Linked DNA regions of Drosophila melanogaster. Changing the gene in region 2 together with the main gene of any one other region gives a genetic interaction. Each region holds a gene or a part of one and is shown on either strand. Other genes may lie near its edges. The genes, in order: fng, spdo and Rbfox1.

What was found.
Region 1: of spdo (region 2) and fng, changing one suppresses a phenotype caused by changing the other (phenotypic suppression), as found in Drosophila melanogaster (one study listed by BioGRID).
Region 3: of spdo (region 2) and Rbfox1, changing one enhances a phenotype caused by changing the other (phenotypic enhancement), as found in Drosophila melanogaster (one study listed by BioGRID).

The regions. Positions count from the first base shown.
Region 1 is NT_037436.4:20,946,290-20,951,363, forward strand, and holds the start of fng (fringe), read right to left. Parts: upstream 3,224-5,074; 5' UTR 3,013-3,223; coding exon 2,881-3,012; intron 1-2,880. UniProt on the Drosophila melanogaster protein: Glycosyltransferase involved in the elongation of O-linked ligands to activate Notch signaling. Possesses fucose-specific beta-1,3-N-acetylglucosaminyltransferase activity; extends the O-linked fucose on the Notch EGF repeats.
Region 2 is NT_033777.3:30,474,848-30,479,783, reverse strand, and holds spdo (sanpodo), read right to left. Parts: upstream 3,101-4,936; 5' UTR 2,972-3,100; coding exon 1,610-2,971; intron 1,531-1,609; coding exon 1,195-1,530; 3' UTR 935-1,194; downstream 1-934. Other genes in the region: PH4alphaEFB (prolyl-4-hydroxylase-alpha EFB), read right to left, coding at 4-191, 357-665.
Region 3 is NT_037436.4:10,479,716-10,484,666, reverse strand, and holds the start of Rbfox1 (RNA-binding Fox protein 1), read right to left. Parts: upstream 3,256-4,951; 5' UTR 2,722-3,255; intron 1-2,721.

The DNA.
Region 1 (5,074 bases), on a different chromosome or scaffold from region 2:
CAGGCATCCGAGCATCCAGGCTCAATTAAGCGACCACCAAAAGATACCCAGATACCCAGATATGGGTATCTTTTACTCGGTTGCCCAGCTGCAGATACTACTCCTTTTATCAGGCGCCTTCCGCGGCTTAATGTCGTCAACTTTTTCGGGCTGATTACGTGAGCGGCGGGCAGAAGGAGGGCTTTGTGGATCGAGGGGCCACGGAAAGGTAGCTGCAACCAGCTGCATTAAGTTGGCCATGGGAAGTGAAGAGCAAGCACCTGCTTTTGGCCTGGCCAAAAACAGGAATCACATCATCATCATCATCATCATCGTGGTCTTTGTCTCTCGGGCTGCCTCGAAGGCTTCTTGTGGCTGTTGCTTTCCTCAAGCTGATTTGCATGCTCCTCAGCTTAGGAGTTTGTTAATGTTATTATGTATTTACCATGCACTCGTCAAAAATATTTGAAAGTCCATACTGGAAAATAAATTCGGATATCTTAGAAGAAGAATTAGATGTCATTACAGAAAAAATCTATATTGTGCACGTTCATAAATGCACGTAAGTAATCTACTATCCATATCGATGTGTCATCGGTAAGCTGATCACAGTGTAGCCACAACAAACTACTCAAATCAATCAGCGACTGGTGGCCATTTGGCGCGCCACTTTAAAGAAATTCATAAACAAGCAAATCGTTTGACGATTATTATTCATTTCGTTTCATTTATGATTTATGCGTCAGCAACACGCGACATGCCAACCTGGCGACCTGGCGACGTGAGCTGCAACTGGACATGAGACATCAGATACTGGGAATCTTGGATAGGCAGGGTTGTGGGGCTGATGGAGACCCCCATGACAATACCCCCGCCCCGCCCCCGCCCGATTTCGAAATTATTGCTTTATCAGGCGAATGCCAAGCCCAGTTTAGCGCGAGTATGTGTCCAGTCGACTGTTTAGCTGTTCAACAGTTCGAAGAATCGAGCCAAGCCAAGTCATGTCAAGTCAACAAGCAGCACTTTTTGCGCAACATTTAGGAACAAAAAGAGAACACTCATATACGAAGTACGAAAAGAATTAAGCAAATTGTACGCGGCATGCAGTTTTTAAACTGGGACAAGTCACAGACCTCCGATGGAACAGAACTTCAATTGAAAAGACAAACAACAGTACAGCAGTTGTCGACAGTTTTTTATCCGGCTCAGTATTTAGTAGTGCGATGTGTGTGTAGCACTAATTCCTGCCAAGTTTCCGGTTAGCCCCAGAACACAAAAATAAAAAAAAGAGTAGAGCAACTGGAAGAGCCACAACGTCAACAGCATTGTCCGAATTAAAACAACATAAAGTTTTTAATTACACTAGCAGCAGCATGCGAAAACATTACAGGGGAGCCTCCACAAACTCGCCTCGAAGCCTCGAAGTTGGGCAATTGAGTTGCAAATTGAGAAGCCGGAAGGTGGTGAAGGGCAAGGGGATTACATGGATATTTTTGAGGATGCTGCAGCTGATTCAATTATGAGCTCTTAACTCTATTGCCAGCGGCTCGAATCACTAATATTATGAAATTTGTAAGCCTTAGTTAGGGAGCTGTAACAGTTGAAGGTATAACTACAGCAGTAGGGTTCATTTAACAAAAATCGAACTATATAAAGAAATGTTGGAAGAAAACTTTGAGGAATCTGTATATGCAACTGATTAAAAATATGTGCACTATTTTCTTATGGCGTCGTTTCATTTAAAGTTTTTAAAATATGATAATCCTAGAAGGTGGACACATAGTTCGAATTTCAAGGGTTCTAAAAATAGCCTGTTCGCATAAAACCCTGCCAAAAAGTGTTTGCAATGCAATAGGAGGCTAACTAAGGCCATTCCCACGGACCTCAACTATTTGTTATCTGTGATGCAACTGACAAGGTTTTCCACTGGACGAGTCCATTGAGATTCACCTCCATGAGATCCCCCCTCGCAGCGCACACCTTGGTAATATTAGCACACAATATTTTATTACACAAAAATTTATGCAAAAATCAAGAGTAAGAAGAGAACAATAATAAATGGGCAGAGCAGACAGGGCTCAGAACCCTGACAGGCCCTGGAATCAGGCAACTGAAAGCTTTGGCGACGCTCTGCCGACGGCAAACCAAGAAATTCAGGAACGGTTGACTGGATCTTCGGTAATCGAAACTGGGAATACTCTTGTGGGAATTGGAAAGTATTGGTGATTTTCAAAAATATATTCCAAGTGCCTAATGGTATGATTTTAGGATTTTAATAATGTCTCGATAATGCGAGCCGATCTTTGAACATCAACTTTAACAGAATTACATTCTCTTGTCCTTAAATCAATCAAATATAAGCTTAATTGTAAAAAAAAAAAACAAATAAATTCAGGATCATATTTCCATTTTTGAAACAAACCACTAAGCTAGGCACTACCTCTACATAAACTTCTGCACAATTTCTAAAGCAATCAAGTCCTTAGTTCCAAATGAATTCCCCGTGATACCGATCCCCATCCAATCACCAATCGTAGGGTATATCCTTTTAAAACGCTTCCTCGCCGAAATTTGTGTTCAATTATGATACCCCCTATTAGGGTATAAAAGCGCAAAAAGCCAAGCACCGAAACTGTTTTATATGCAAGGCAAGGGCGTAAAAGGTTTTTTTAACGGCCAAAGCCGCAGCTGCAAAACTCAAGTCGCCGGCGTTGATTTATGAAAGTGCACGAGTCGACGTCGATCGGGATCGGAATCAAAGGGGGATAATGCAAATTGCCTGGCCTTTGCAGCTTTGCAACTTATGCAGATCAGTGCGGAGCACACACGTTTGACAGTTTCGCAGCGCTAACAACACCCACGCAAGCTGGATTATGTCGCCCACTCGAACTCGCAACTCACTTGGATGCCCGGATATCCGTAGGCGCTCTGGTAGAGCAGTAGGGTCATATAGACGACGGCGACGGCTAACATCATGGCTTGCAGGATTCGCTTAAAACGTTGCGGTGGCGAGAGCACAGTCAGGCTCATCATACGGTTACGGACCACTACGCGCACATTGAAGCACCGCCGATTTGATCACTGGGTAGGTTTTATATTCCAATATTAGCTGGTTCTTTTCCTGGATCGTATGAATTCTGCTCGATTTCTGAAATTACGATATCTTTTAAGTTTATTTCGATTTCGATATCGCAGCACGCGCGCACTGACGTCTTGCTTGTGGCAAGCTTGAAAAGCAACTGATTGTGGTAGCGCGATCTACTCTTCTCTTCTTCCAGCGAAAATCGTAAACAAAACAAAAACCAGAAAGACCAGTAAGCGGTGAGAGTAGCGAGAGAGAAAGAGAGAGAGAGAATTCCCTTTGAGCTGGTCCAATTGGAAACGTTAGCTGCTCCAATGGGAGCAGCTGGCGCTCTCTCTTCGATCGCGCTCGCTCTCATCCTCTCTCTTTAGCTTGTGCCACAGTAGCTGCCGAAGGCAATTTTCATGTGCTCGTGTGTCGACCCCCACTCAGCCCACTTCTGATCGGAATCGGGGATTCGGAATCGTGTAAGGCAGCCTTTGAAGGTCCCTTTTCCAGGTGGCGGCCGTATCCTTAAAGTAAACATAGTTCAACTGACTTGGCAGCGCTCCAAATGCGGTGACTTCTTGGCTATGTCATATATACCCCCACTCCCCTCCTGACTACCCTGCCACGCCCCACCGCCCACCGTCGGCGACGACAATTCCATTAAAAGTTGTACGTTGTCACTTTGCGTTAACTTATCTGTGGAGCATGTTGTGCGATCGCATTTTTATTGTCGCCATTGTCTCTCGCTCTCTCCATCGCTCTTTCGCCTGGCTTCCCTACCCTGCCCACACAGGGAAGCCTACACACTCTTAAATCATGCACTTGGAACAAAAAGTGCAAGCATTAAACTTTATTTAAACATTCAAGAGCCGCTCCTCTATTTACCATTGAAATTTTATTTCAAATAGAGAGGTCTTTTCAGATTATATTATACCTTTAAGTGGCTTAGAAATAGTTAGACAGTGTATTTATGGATAAGTAATTAATTTAACTAAAAAATACAAACAGAAGAATTCTTTTACAATAATTTCAAACTACTAATTTCTACATCCCTTTCTCGCTCCGTGCATCAAATGCATCCACATCTCACGTGCGTCGGCAGCGTTCTGCGACGTTTCTTTGTCGCTCGGTTTTTGTGTAGCACTTGGCCTGCTCCCCACTTGACAATGCTTTGCATGCCAGGCACCATCCAGCAGTATCTTCCCGTTCCTCCTCCTCTTGCTGCTCTCAGCCCATTCAGCTCGATCCCATTCCATCCCAATCCGAATCCCATCCTACTCCTCACCAGCTTGTCATATTCCATGTTTGTGGCGGCGACAAAAGCTTTTGCGGACACCTCTGCCCGCGTCGACTGCGCTGCCCGCACAATCAGCAACTCGGCATCTTGTTCGCTGTCCCTTTGTGCGCCTTTCGCCTGAATTGCATTAAGCAGAGTCGGCGGAGCACTGCAAGAAAATAGTGAATTCGTATTTAATTCGGTAAGAGAACAGCATAAAAATGTAAACTTTTATCGCCTTGTGTCAGCTGAAAAATCTATCCAACCCTTAATAGTTTAATGTTTTAGATTATTTAAGACTGAGCCCTTTAAATACAAAAGCTTAGCATAAATTTAGAACCATCGACAATTACCCAGGGGCTTTAAAACTGTTTAACTTAAGTGGCCATTGTGTGTACCCAAATGAGCAAGCAAAATCAATTGGCCTTCACAGTGTTTTAATTATTTTTATTAGTTTATTATTATGTCAGTATGATTTTTCTACCGGTGCAGAGACGGTGGTAGCGGCGACGCAGGCCATTCCAACCTTGTTCTGCCACAGAAAAAGACATCGCTCGGCTGGAATCAGCCGCCCGCTTGCCACGAAACCCTCGGAACCCACTTCCCATTCCTCCGTATTCCGCCCACTCCCATTGCTCATTTTTAATGTGCAATTCCGTATGTACAGTTCGTAGCCATGGCCACCATTCCGCTCCGTATAAGTGTGTGTGTGTGTGTGTGTTTGCATAGCAGCTTGGTTGCCGGTTAGG
Region 2 (4,936 bases):
CACCCTCCTTGTAGGTGGAGAAGGCCAGGTACTCGAGGATGTCGGCCTTGGTGAAGCTCTGGGTGTGGTTGGTCGGCTCCTCCAGCATGCGGGCCATCGCCTCGTTCATCCAGAGCACCGTGTGGTAGTAGTCGTGGTTCACGTACGATTGTCTACCCAACTCGAAGCAGTCATCCGAGGACATTTCCGTGCTGCGGGATAATAAATTTGGTCAGTGAGTATCCCAGGGACTTGGCCGCTCCACTTCGAGAAGTTTATTTTTTTGGTAACCAGAAAATCGATGACTGTGCTCAGCTTTGTATAGCTCTAGCTTACTTCCTTACTTCTCGCATGCATTTAGTTGGACAAAAACTTACCTGTACTGAATGCCATTCAGCTTGCCCCTCGCCACACTCGAAGTGTCCAGTTGGTAGGTGTCTTGCAGGCGGAGCAAGGCCACCGCCGCGCCATTGAGGTCCTCGTCGGAGGGGAACTTCAGGAGGCTGCGATACTGGGTGATGTTCTGCAGGAAATCCGTGCCCACGTCGTGCTCCATGAGGTTCTCCACCTGACGCCAATCGGTGGTTAGCCGCTTAGTCAGCAGGTACGCATTGATTGGATTGGATACATAGGCGGTTATATCATGGGAGGCATCCGAGTGCTCCCTCTGGTACTCGTCCATTTTGCTGCAATTTAAAGAGAGGGCAAAACTTAGTAGACAGAAGAGCAAAACACATTGCTTTAAAATATGCACCGTATTTCAATAGTTAAAAGGTGCTGAAAGCTGAAAAATAATTGTTTACTCAATTAAGTTAAGTATCACGACGCTGAATCTATAATTTTAACACTCGACCTATATTTGAAAGTGTTTATTCACCATATATATATTTTTGATTGTTAAAGAACTAACCTAATTGAACACTTTAACCATTTCCTTATTGATACAAAATGCTGTGCTGGTATCTACGTGCCTTTATTTTATTCTTATTCCATAACATACTTATACTTAGGTGAACAATAAGTTAAGCAAACTAAGTGTTAGCAATAGGTACAACCCACTTGTTATATACAGTCGTTTGGGGGATGATGATCTTCCGCTGATTATAAATCTAATTCTTGTTTTTGGTCTTTTAGCCGTTCGGTGTGTCAAGTTCTTGAATTCGAAGTGGATGGTGTACAACTAATTAGAGTCTAGGATTAACTATTTCCAGGGTATTAGACCACGTTGACGCGGTTGTCTGGCGGAGGTCGGTGGCACCACAAGCTGCCCAGCACTCCCAATCCGATGAAGAACATGGTGAAAGTCGACAGTCCAAGGATGACGCCAGTGGTCACATCGTGGACAGGAAATCCGGGGAAGGGGTCCACCACGAGTATCACAAGCAATCCGCAGGACTTGAATAGGCAAAATACGGTGACCAGGATATAGCCGGAACTATAGCTCCTGTTCGGCAGCCACTCGCAGTGGCGCGACTTGAATCCCAGGAAGCCGAGTCCCATTCCGGAGAAGGAGGCCACCAGGCTAAACTGCAGGTAAAAGGACTTTCCGAGCTGTAGGCGAAGAAAAAGTGTTATTCAAATGTTTCCATGGACAAAATGAATATCTTTAAAAGTATTTGAGAGTACTTACGTGTGCTATCATGTAGATGATGAGCCCCGCATTCATGGTGCTGCCCAAGACGAGCATCAGGGAGACAACGGCCAAGGTAATGGTGGCATTGGCCATCTTCTGCGGATAGGAGCTGTTTTTCTTGCCCTTTCCCTGGATGCTGCTCATGTCCTGTTCCCGTTCCTGCTCCTGCCCCTGCTCCTGGACCCTGGGACTGATGACGGCCATGGATCGATCGGCGATCTGCATGGGAAGCGGCTTCACGGTCTCGTAGTGAAGTCTCTGGGGGGAGAGTCGATTCTGGCGAAGTGGCAAGGTTGGAGGGACTCCTACTACCGCTCCAACTTGTTGGCTTTGGTAGATCTGTTGGCTTTTGTAGATCTCCAAGCGCCTTTCCAGCTGCAGCTGCTCGTGGTGGGCGGCGTTCCGGGGCGTTGAGTGCGCCAATCGCGGAGGCGGCTGCATCTTCCTGGGCGTGGTCAGGAGCTCGTGCAGGGCCCTCGTAGCGGCAGCCGCATTCTTTTGCTGCGGCGTTGAGGTCCTCGCTGCGTACTGCCTGCTCAATTCCATGTTGCTCAGGCAGGTTTCCTGCTGCTCCTGCTCCTCCGCCAGATCATCGTCGTCCGCATCCGTGGGCACCACTGCATATCGATGGGCGCGGCCATTGTGCATCTGTATGATCTCCTGGTTCTCGTCTACCAGCTCCTCGTCCTCGGCGGTGGGCACCATCTGGTACCTCTGGTTGCTATTCTTATCCACTATCAAGAAGGTCTTGCTGCCGAAGTCGCTACTAAAAGCATGCTTAATCTGGGTTTGATTGGCATTGGTATTGTTGTTAATATTCCTGGGCTTGGGCGGCAAATTAAGTATCGGTGGCAAGCTGGCAAACTGGGTCTCCTGATGGGGTTCCTCGTGGAAGGAGTGAGGCTCCTCCTCTTCGTGCAATCCATGTCTGGAGCCATAGCGATCCAGATTATCCTGTGATCGGGCCAGTCTCTGTGCCGCCTGTCCTGGAACTATGGCGTATCTACTGGCCCTACTGCTGTTCAGTTCCTCTAGGGGAACCAAGGCATAGCGACCACTAGAGGATTGCGGCTGGTGTTGCTGCTGCTGAGCCAGGTGTTGCTGGTGTATCTGCTGTTGGTGTTGCTGCTGCTGCTGCTGCTGGTGTTGTTTCCGCGTCACCGATCGCGTGGACATGCTACGCTGCATTCGCAGTGGACCCTCGCGGGGATCTCGAGTGGCGCGCGGAGGAGCCGCTCCAAAGTTCATCTGGAGGCTTCTGTTGTAGATGGACTCCACTCGCGACGAGTTGCCGCTGGGCACCGGGTAATACTCGCTGTTCTGGCAGAAGGCCGGGTTCGTATAGTTATGCTGCGACATGTTGGCACTGTACTGGTGGCAATTCCACAACCTCTTAGGGGTGTTCTTTCACTACTTTGGGTTTTCTTTGGGTTCGTAGCACTGTTCACGATCCGCTCGCCTCGGCAACTGCGACTCGACTGATCTAGAGAGCCGTTCCAGACGGCAGCTCCTCAACTTCCTCCACTTCCTGCGCCGGCGCGCAGTCGAGTGGATCGTGCTCCGATACGAGTCCCCACCCCATAAAACACCATTTACTTGTACATAAGACACCCGTACACCCGTACAATGACCGACTGTGTTTGGCGCGTTCCATTAGGCCATTGGAACCGAACCGAATGTGAAAACCCAGAAACATCTGCTCCTGCTGCTCGACGAACGAACGGGGGTTGAAACGCATTTCACTTCCAACTGAGACGTCTCAACGCGATCCTAACCAAAACCTAAAAACCCCTGGCGAATTGCAGGAGCAGCCGGCGTTTTATTCGGTTCGCGTTTATCGGCGTTTTTAATTCTTATTTACCAACTCATATGCGCTCCCTTGCGACTTTAATTCTGTTTTGCTACCACTTAGTTGGCGAGTTGAGGGGTATGATGAATGTGTTTTAAATCCACCTAAGATTATACTCGAACATAACCAGTGTAGAGCAGATCATATCAGCACACTGTCATCACCGAGAATTCAACATAATTTAACTATCATAAAAGTGTTTTTTCTTTATTATAATCATATAAGAACTAGTTGTTCTTGTTCCTTTTGTTCATCCGCTGCTTTGTTTCTCGACCGAAATATTTAAAATAGTTTATTGTTTGTTGAAAACATATCGTGCTTTTATTATATATGGTTAGCATCCGTATATCGGCACCATTAAAACAAACTTTTAATGAATGCTTTCACAAAACAGTTTAGTTTAATATGCACATATTTCTGACGTAAAAGCGTCAAGCCATAAAGTAGAGCTTAGCTTCAGTCAGAAAGAAATGAAACAAAAGAACTTAAGAGATTAAATTATTTCACTTCGCTTATTTATTTTAAGGGGTACCCTTCAGTCGCGCTTGCTTCTTAAAAATAATCCTTGCTCAGCTCTGATGTTTGTGCAGACCAAAAACCTTCCCTAAAGGCAGCCCTCCCCGGATTTTTGTTGCCCAAGCGACCGTTACATTTGGTTGTCAGAGAAAAACGATAAAAAACGAAGAGTTCGTGGGTCAACTTTATCCGGATTTCGCCTCCCACGTGCATACATATGTACATGCCTTTGAGCCCGCAGGTTGGATGCACGCGTGTTGTCCTTTTGTGGTGGCCAACTTAATTGCCTTTTGGCCAGAAGCAAATCAGCGCAGCCGGGGGCATTTGTCAAGCGGATTAGCCAGAAATTGGAGGCACCAACAGCTGGTCGGTGGGAAAATTTAAGATGCATATAAAGTTAAACGCCGGCAGACGGCACGCGACTAGAGTGCGGGGTTTCTGCACAGTATCCGAAGGATACTCGGATGCAGATACTCAAAGGCAGGGGCAATGACAGCGCACAAGGATAACAGACAGAGACGGCAGGCACACAGCTGTCAGCTGTTTGCGAGGATCCTGTCTCGTCCTTTGTTGTGACACAACCAAGGTACAAATGCAGGAACAGAAACTCAACTAAACTCAACTGAACTGAACAGCAGAGAAACAGCCGCAAAGATAGATCCTGAATCCTGAGTCCTGAGTGCGACTGGCATTATTTGATTAGGGGAGTTGTCTCACCGCATCCTGCACCCTGCTCTCTCCCCCATATTATTTCCGCTGCCAGTTGTCATATATATACGCCACATAGATCCCCTTCGCATATAAGCAAGAGATATGTATCTGCAGTCATGTGTGTGAGGGGCGCCTCCTCAGATACATTTACAGATACAGATACACACTCAGTTGTAGTAAAACAGCATAGGTGCGTGCAACAGCTGCCCTCGCACGTGGCAAAAGTAATTACCAGAATGCAAGCGACT
Region 3 (4,951 bases), on a different chromosome or scaffold from region 2:
AAAGAACTTAAGTAGGATTTTTCCATTTCCACTTTTCGTATGCTAATGCAAGGGGGAAAGTGGAAAAGAGAAGCATTTAATCAAGTTTATGTGGAATAAATTATATTTATACGCTTTTCTTTGAAATAATGGTTACAGCGTTGCCATTAGGCTTATTAGAAAAGGGAAAAGAAGAAAAATGAGAGGAAAAACCACCCAAAGAAGTCAAAGCGATTAAGATGGATGATGCCCGAAAGTGGGGAGCATAATAAGACAAATTATTTGCAAGGATATGAAAAGGGGTTACAAAATGGAAGGAATAAAATACTTTTCATTTCAAATAATAATTAAATAAATCAATATTCAATAATATAAGTATATACTGCTTGGCAATTTCATTTAAAAAGGCTAGTTTCAAAATGAGTTGAGTAATAAAAAAAAGGAAAGCATTAGATCTCTGCATACTGCAATGCACATTTTTGTACATATAAACTGTGACAGAAATACCCACAAATTACATGCTCATAGAATCTCGGAAACATATCGTGCACATAAATTCCTACTCTATTTTATTGAAATTCTGTGAGGAACGTATGTGCAATCTCTTCTCATTTTTTTTCTGTTGAATAAGCATGAAAAATATCATGTTGCATATTGTCCGAAATATAGTTTAGAAGTCTTGTGCAAAAATGCGATGTCGCAAGTAAGCATAAAAAAAAATATCAGGCACAGCACCCATCTGCCACCCAAAAATGTGGATCTGCTCATGTAAATAACTGCAAATGGAGCTGTGGAAAAATATTGTAGTTGACAATAGAGTTTTTCATTGGTTGGCTAAACAAGTCAAGGTTCGGAGTTTTTTAAGTAATTGCTGCTTATACAAATTTACGGTGCAAGTTTTCCCTTTGTTAGACGAGATAAATGGGGGTGGCATATTTACGCCCCATGATTTATGGCGCTCATTTTTCGAGGACATTATAAAAAAATAAAAACTTTTTGGTGGGTCAAAGTGAAGAGAAGTCAAACAAAGATAAGCGAACCAAACTTTGATTTTGTGTGCCATTTGTTTATTGTTCTCAATTGTTGTTACATTTTGACTGCGACACAGGTGGTATATTTGATCGTTTTCATGTCCTTATATTTTCAAAAGGGCCATTTTGAGCTACTTTTGTAGCGTTGATAAATGAGAGCCATCTTCACATGTCACGAAAGTTTTAAGTTTTTTAAAACTTTTTAGTATTAAAATCCCCTATTTTTCTAAGCCCGATATATACAATAGGTATCCTTTTTTGCGAACCAACGTTGATATTTTCAAAGACATCCTTGTTGCATAAACAGGACCGTGGACCGTGAAGTATTTAGCATACAACCAAAATGTGGAGTCTCATTTTTCGCTCGCATATTTTCGCCCACAGCTTTTATCCTGCAGATGACGGAAGTCTCAAAGTGACAGACAATTTTAGCCTTAACAAGAATAACAGCAGCACGCTGAAGTGATGGAAACTCTAGCCACATGTGCGCAAATATTTTTTCCTGCTTCTGGCTTCTACCGTCAGTGCCTTCCAGCCTCAGTCAGCATAATAATGAATTACATACGGTGGAGATTCTTGTGCCGGGAATCCGGCAATCCTAGCCGTCATCAACATCGGGCAACAACTACCTATGGAAACAGTCTGAGCCACTCGCTTAGCTTCCTTGCCACGCTTTGTTGGCTGCAGCAATTTTACAATTGACTGTTTCTGCTGTTTCTAAATGGGGGAAACTCCCCGTTTTGCAGTGGAAACCCCCTTTGTTTAACGGGGAAACGGGATGGCGAAATGGGTGAGTTTGTAAAACGCTTGACTTGTTTTACGCATTATTTACTTAGTTGGGATGCTAGCTACCTCTTGCTCCACATGTACATGCACGTGTTTGTATAAGCTCACGCAGGAAAAACTGTTGTCACAACTTCGATTTTGTTATTTAAAGTAAAGTTTAAAGTTATTTAAAGTAAAGGCTCAAAGTCACTAAAAAGAAGTCTTAAATTAAGCAATAGAAAATATAAGCATACATTTTGGCTTAAAAACTATAACTATCGATGCAGAACCCATTTCTCTCAGTGTTGCTGTGCGTGTATACCCTTTTAGTTGTCTTTGTGCGTCCATTCCGTGGGGGATAGGGGCGTGGCAAATGAACTAGTATAAAAGTAAGTTTGCGGCAAGCAGCAAAACGTTTGGTTACAATTAATTTCGTACTCTGCGCTGGGTAATAAGGGGATATATGCACAGATACAGGGTATGTGAGTGCCATAAAAGGGGGGAGATTGTGATGCCCGGTGGGGGGGGGGGTGGCCCCTTAATGTGAGCAATTTGAAATGAAAATCGGCCCCGGAGTCCTGTTGCTGTAAAAGTATTTTTGCGGGCATTTCTACCATTATTTGCATCTCCAGCTGAAAATAAATGAAGGGTAAACGCAAATCGAAATTCCCTGCCAGACCATCAACAATGGAAGTCGGGCAAATAACAAATGGAAAAATTACACGAATATCAAATCAAAATTATCTTTACGTAGCGGGAGATGTTTTAATGCGGGACATAAAGCAAAAATGGGCAATAAAAATGTTTTAAATGCGTTTGGGAAATGGGCAAATTCTCAAGATATCTCAGCGGAAGACTAGTCCAATAAAAGCTGTTCAAATGGGTAACTTAATGTGCTAAATGGGATACATTTTTATTTCTGTGATATTTAATAGCTAAGGCTTACTTGATCGACGTGCTCTTGTGAATCGTGAAAAAAGAATCCGTTTGCTGTCCGAATTACTTGTGGTAAACACACGAAACAAACACACGTTTTTGTGTTTTCTTTTTTTTTTTGCTTTTGGCACTAGATGCTAAATGACAGGCGGCTTATGCAACATTTATTTGATATTGTATTAAATATTTAACGCACGACACGACAAAACACTTTTGCCTCATTAATCTAACGCACACAAGAGCAGCGGGCAGAATGAGGAAAAGCTGCTAATTGAAGCCGGCAGCACAACGAAATACACAGTGCACACACAAAAAGCACACACAATCACAAAGGGACACTAAGCCTTTAGTCGTTGATTGATACGGATAGCCCAAGGAATTTGAGGTTTTTCCCACTGCGGGTAATGGGACTTGGGGTGGTTTTGAAAAATTTGTGACGTTTTTCCTGTTAACACGAGAATTTTACGCGACTTGCCAATGCGCGAGGCGAAAGCGATGAGCAAAATGTTTTCCGTCCTCACGTGAGCACTTGCAATGGGAGACTGAAATTTTGCGCAAAAGAGCCTGTAAGTATGCAGCAGCCTTTGCCGTATAACACTACAGTCAGTATAACAGTTTGATGCTTACTTGAGGGATGAGAAAAATGTATATTTTTGGTGAAAGAGCTCTTTAATGCCACCTGATAAAAGGTAACATTAAATTTGGTTTAATGCACAACGACCTACGGCATCATCAGCATAAACTTGGCCAACTATTTAACCACAAAAAATAAGCAGAAAAACAGAATAAATCTTATAAACATATGTGTTCAAGGCAGAAAACCATTTCCGCCAAATTGCCCAAGCCTAGTCGCACAATTTATTTTTATTTGAACCCCGAGAAGTTTATGGTTTCTTCTTTCCCCCGCCAAAATGCTGATTATTATGATTATTTACTCAGCCTATTTGTGTGTGGGCGTTTGGTTACATAATTAGGCCATTAAGTATAAGTGCCCAAGTCTCTGATTTCCACATTTCCACGGCCCAGCATCACAAATCGATCAGGCTGGCAAACAAATTCCGTTCGACAAAGAGAGGCAATTTTAAATGGAAACAGAAGGCTATAAGGAAAACGTATTTTCAGCAGCAACTTTTCTTTGGCGGAAAACGTAATTGAATTTTTATTGACATTCTAGCGGAAGTGGAGGTGAGGACAGCTGTCACTTGAGCGACGAAGTTGCCTGGAAATAAAGCGCAACTATTTTGTAGAAAATGACCAGGACAGTAAAGTGGAAGGACGAAAATCGGGAACGAAGAACGAAAGCAAAACCAAAAATCTAAAGAAATCAAAAGAAAAATATAAATTTCGGAAAATTAATTCCGTTTTTTAAGGCCGCTTTAAAAGGGGATTGAGCAAGGGATTGCCAAGAATAACCTAATTAGGGTTGACTTAAGGCAACCGATGGAAAATTTTCCGCAGATTAAGCTCGAAGAAAAAGCCCAACGAAAATATTTAAAAATAACAATTTAAAATTCAGCAGGAGAGAAAGAGAAAATGGAAAAGGGTTGATTTACATGAAAATTGTATTGAGTACTTTTTAAGACTTTTTTTTTGTAGTCATTTTTGTAAATTTGTTTACTTATACTTTGTAGATATTATGGCTTTACAAATGGCATTCAAACATTGTAATCCATTCTTAATGGCAAATAGATAAGTTTATAATTACAGATATAATTGCTTTTCTATATGGCGATCCAGTCCAAGTCCGCTTACCAATTAAAGTTCGACGTAGCCATTTGTCATGACTATCTGCATCATAATATGCCACTATTATCATTTACAGCCACCCGTTTTTGTCCAATCGCTTTTCTCATTACCAGGAGACACCCTCGTCTCTGGCCGGTCATTAAATTATTTTATATGGCACATTAAAAGTGAGCATAAACACACAAACTCTCACTGGCCCTTACTTTCTCTACTATACGAGTGTGTGTGTGTGTGTAGAGTAAGTGAAATGCATTTGCAGTGGGGGGGTGTGGTCATAAGCCAAAGGCTTATGTGGAAAAGTAAGAGAAAGGGGAGCGGCGTCTGTCCGAGTGGCATTTCCATCTGCGGCAGGTTCTATTTGCTATTATTATCATAGTCGGAGTGCTTGGGCGGTTATTATTGTTACCACTGAGTCTGCTCGTCGGCTTCTAAGCAATTATTTAAAGCACCGCAAGGACGGGAGAAATGCAGGGACAACTCTCCCTTTCTCTGTC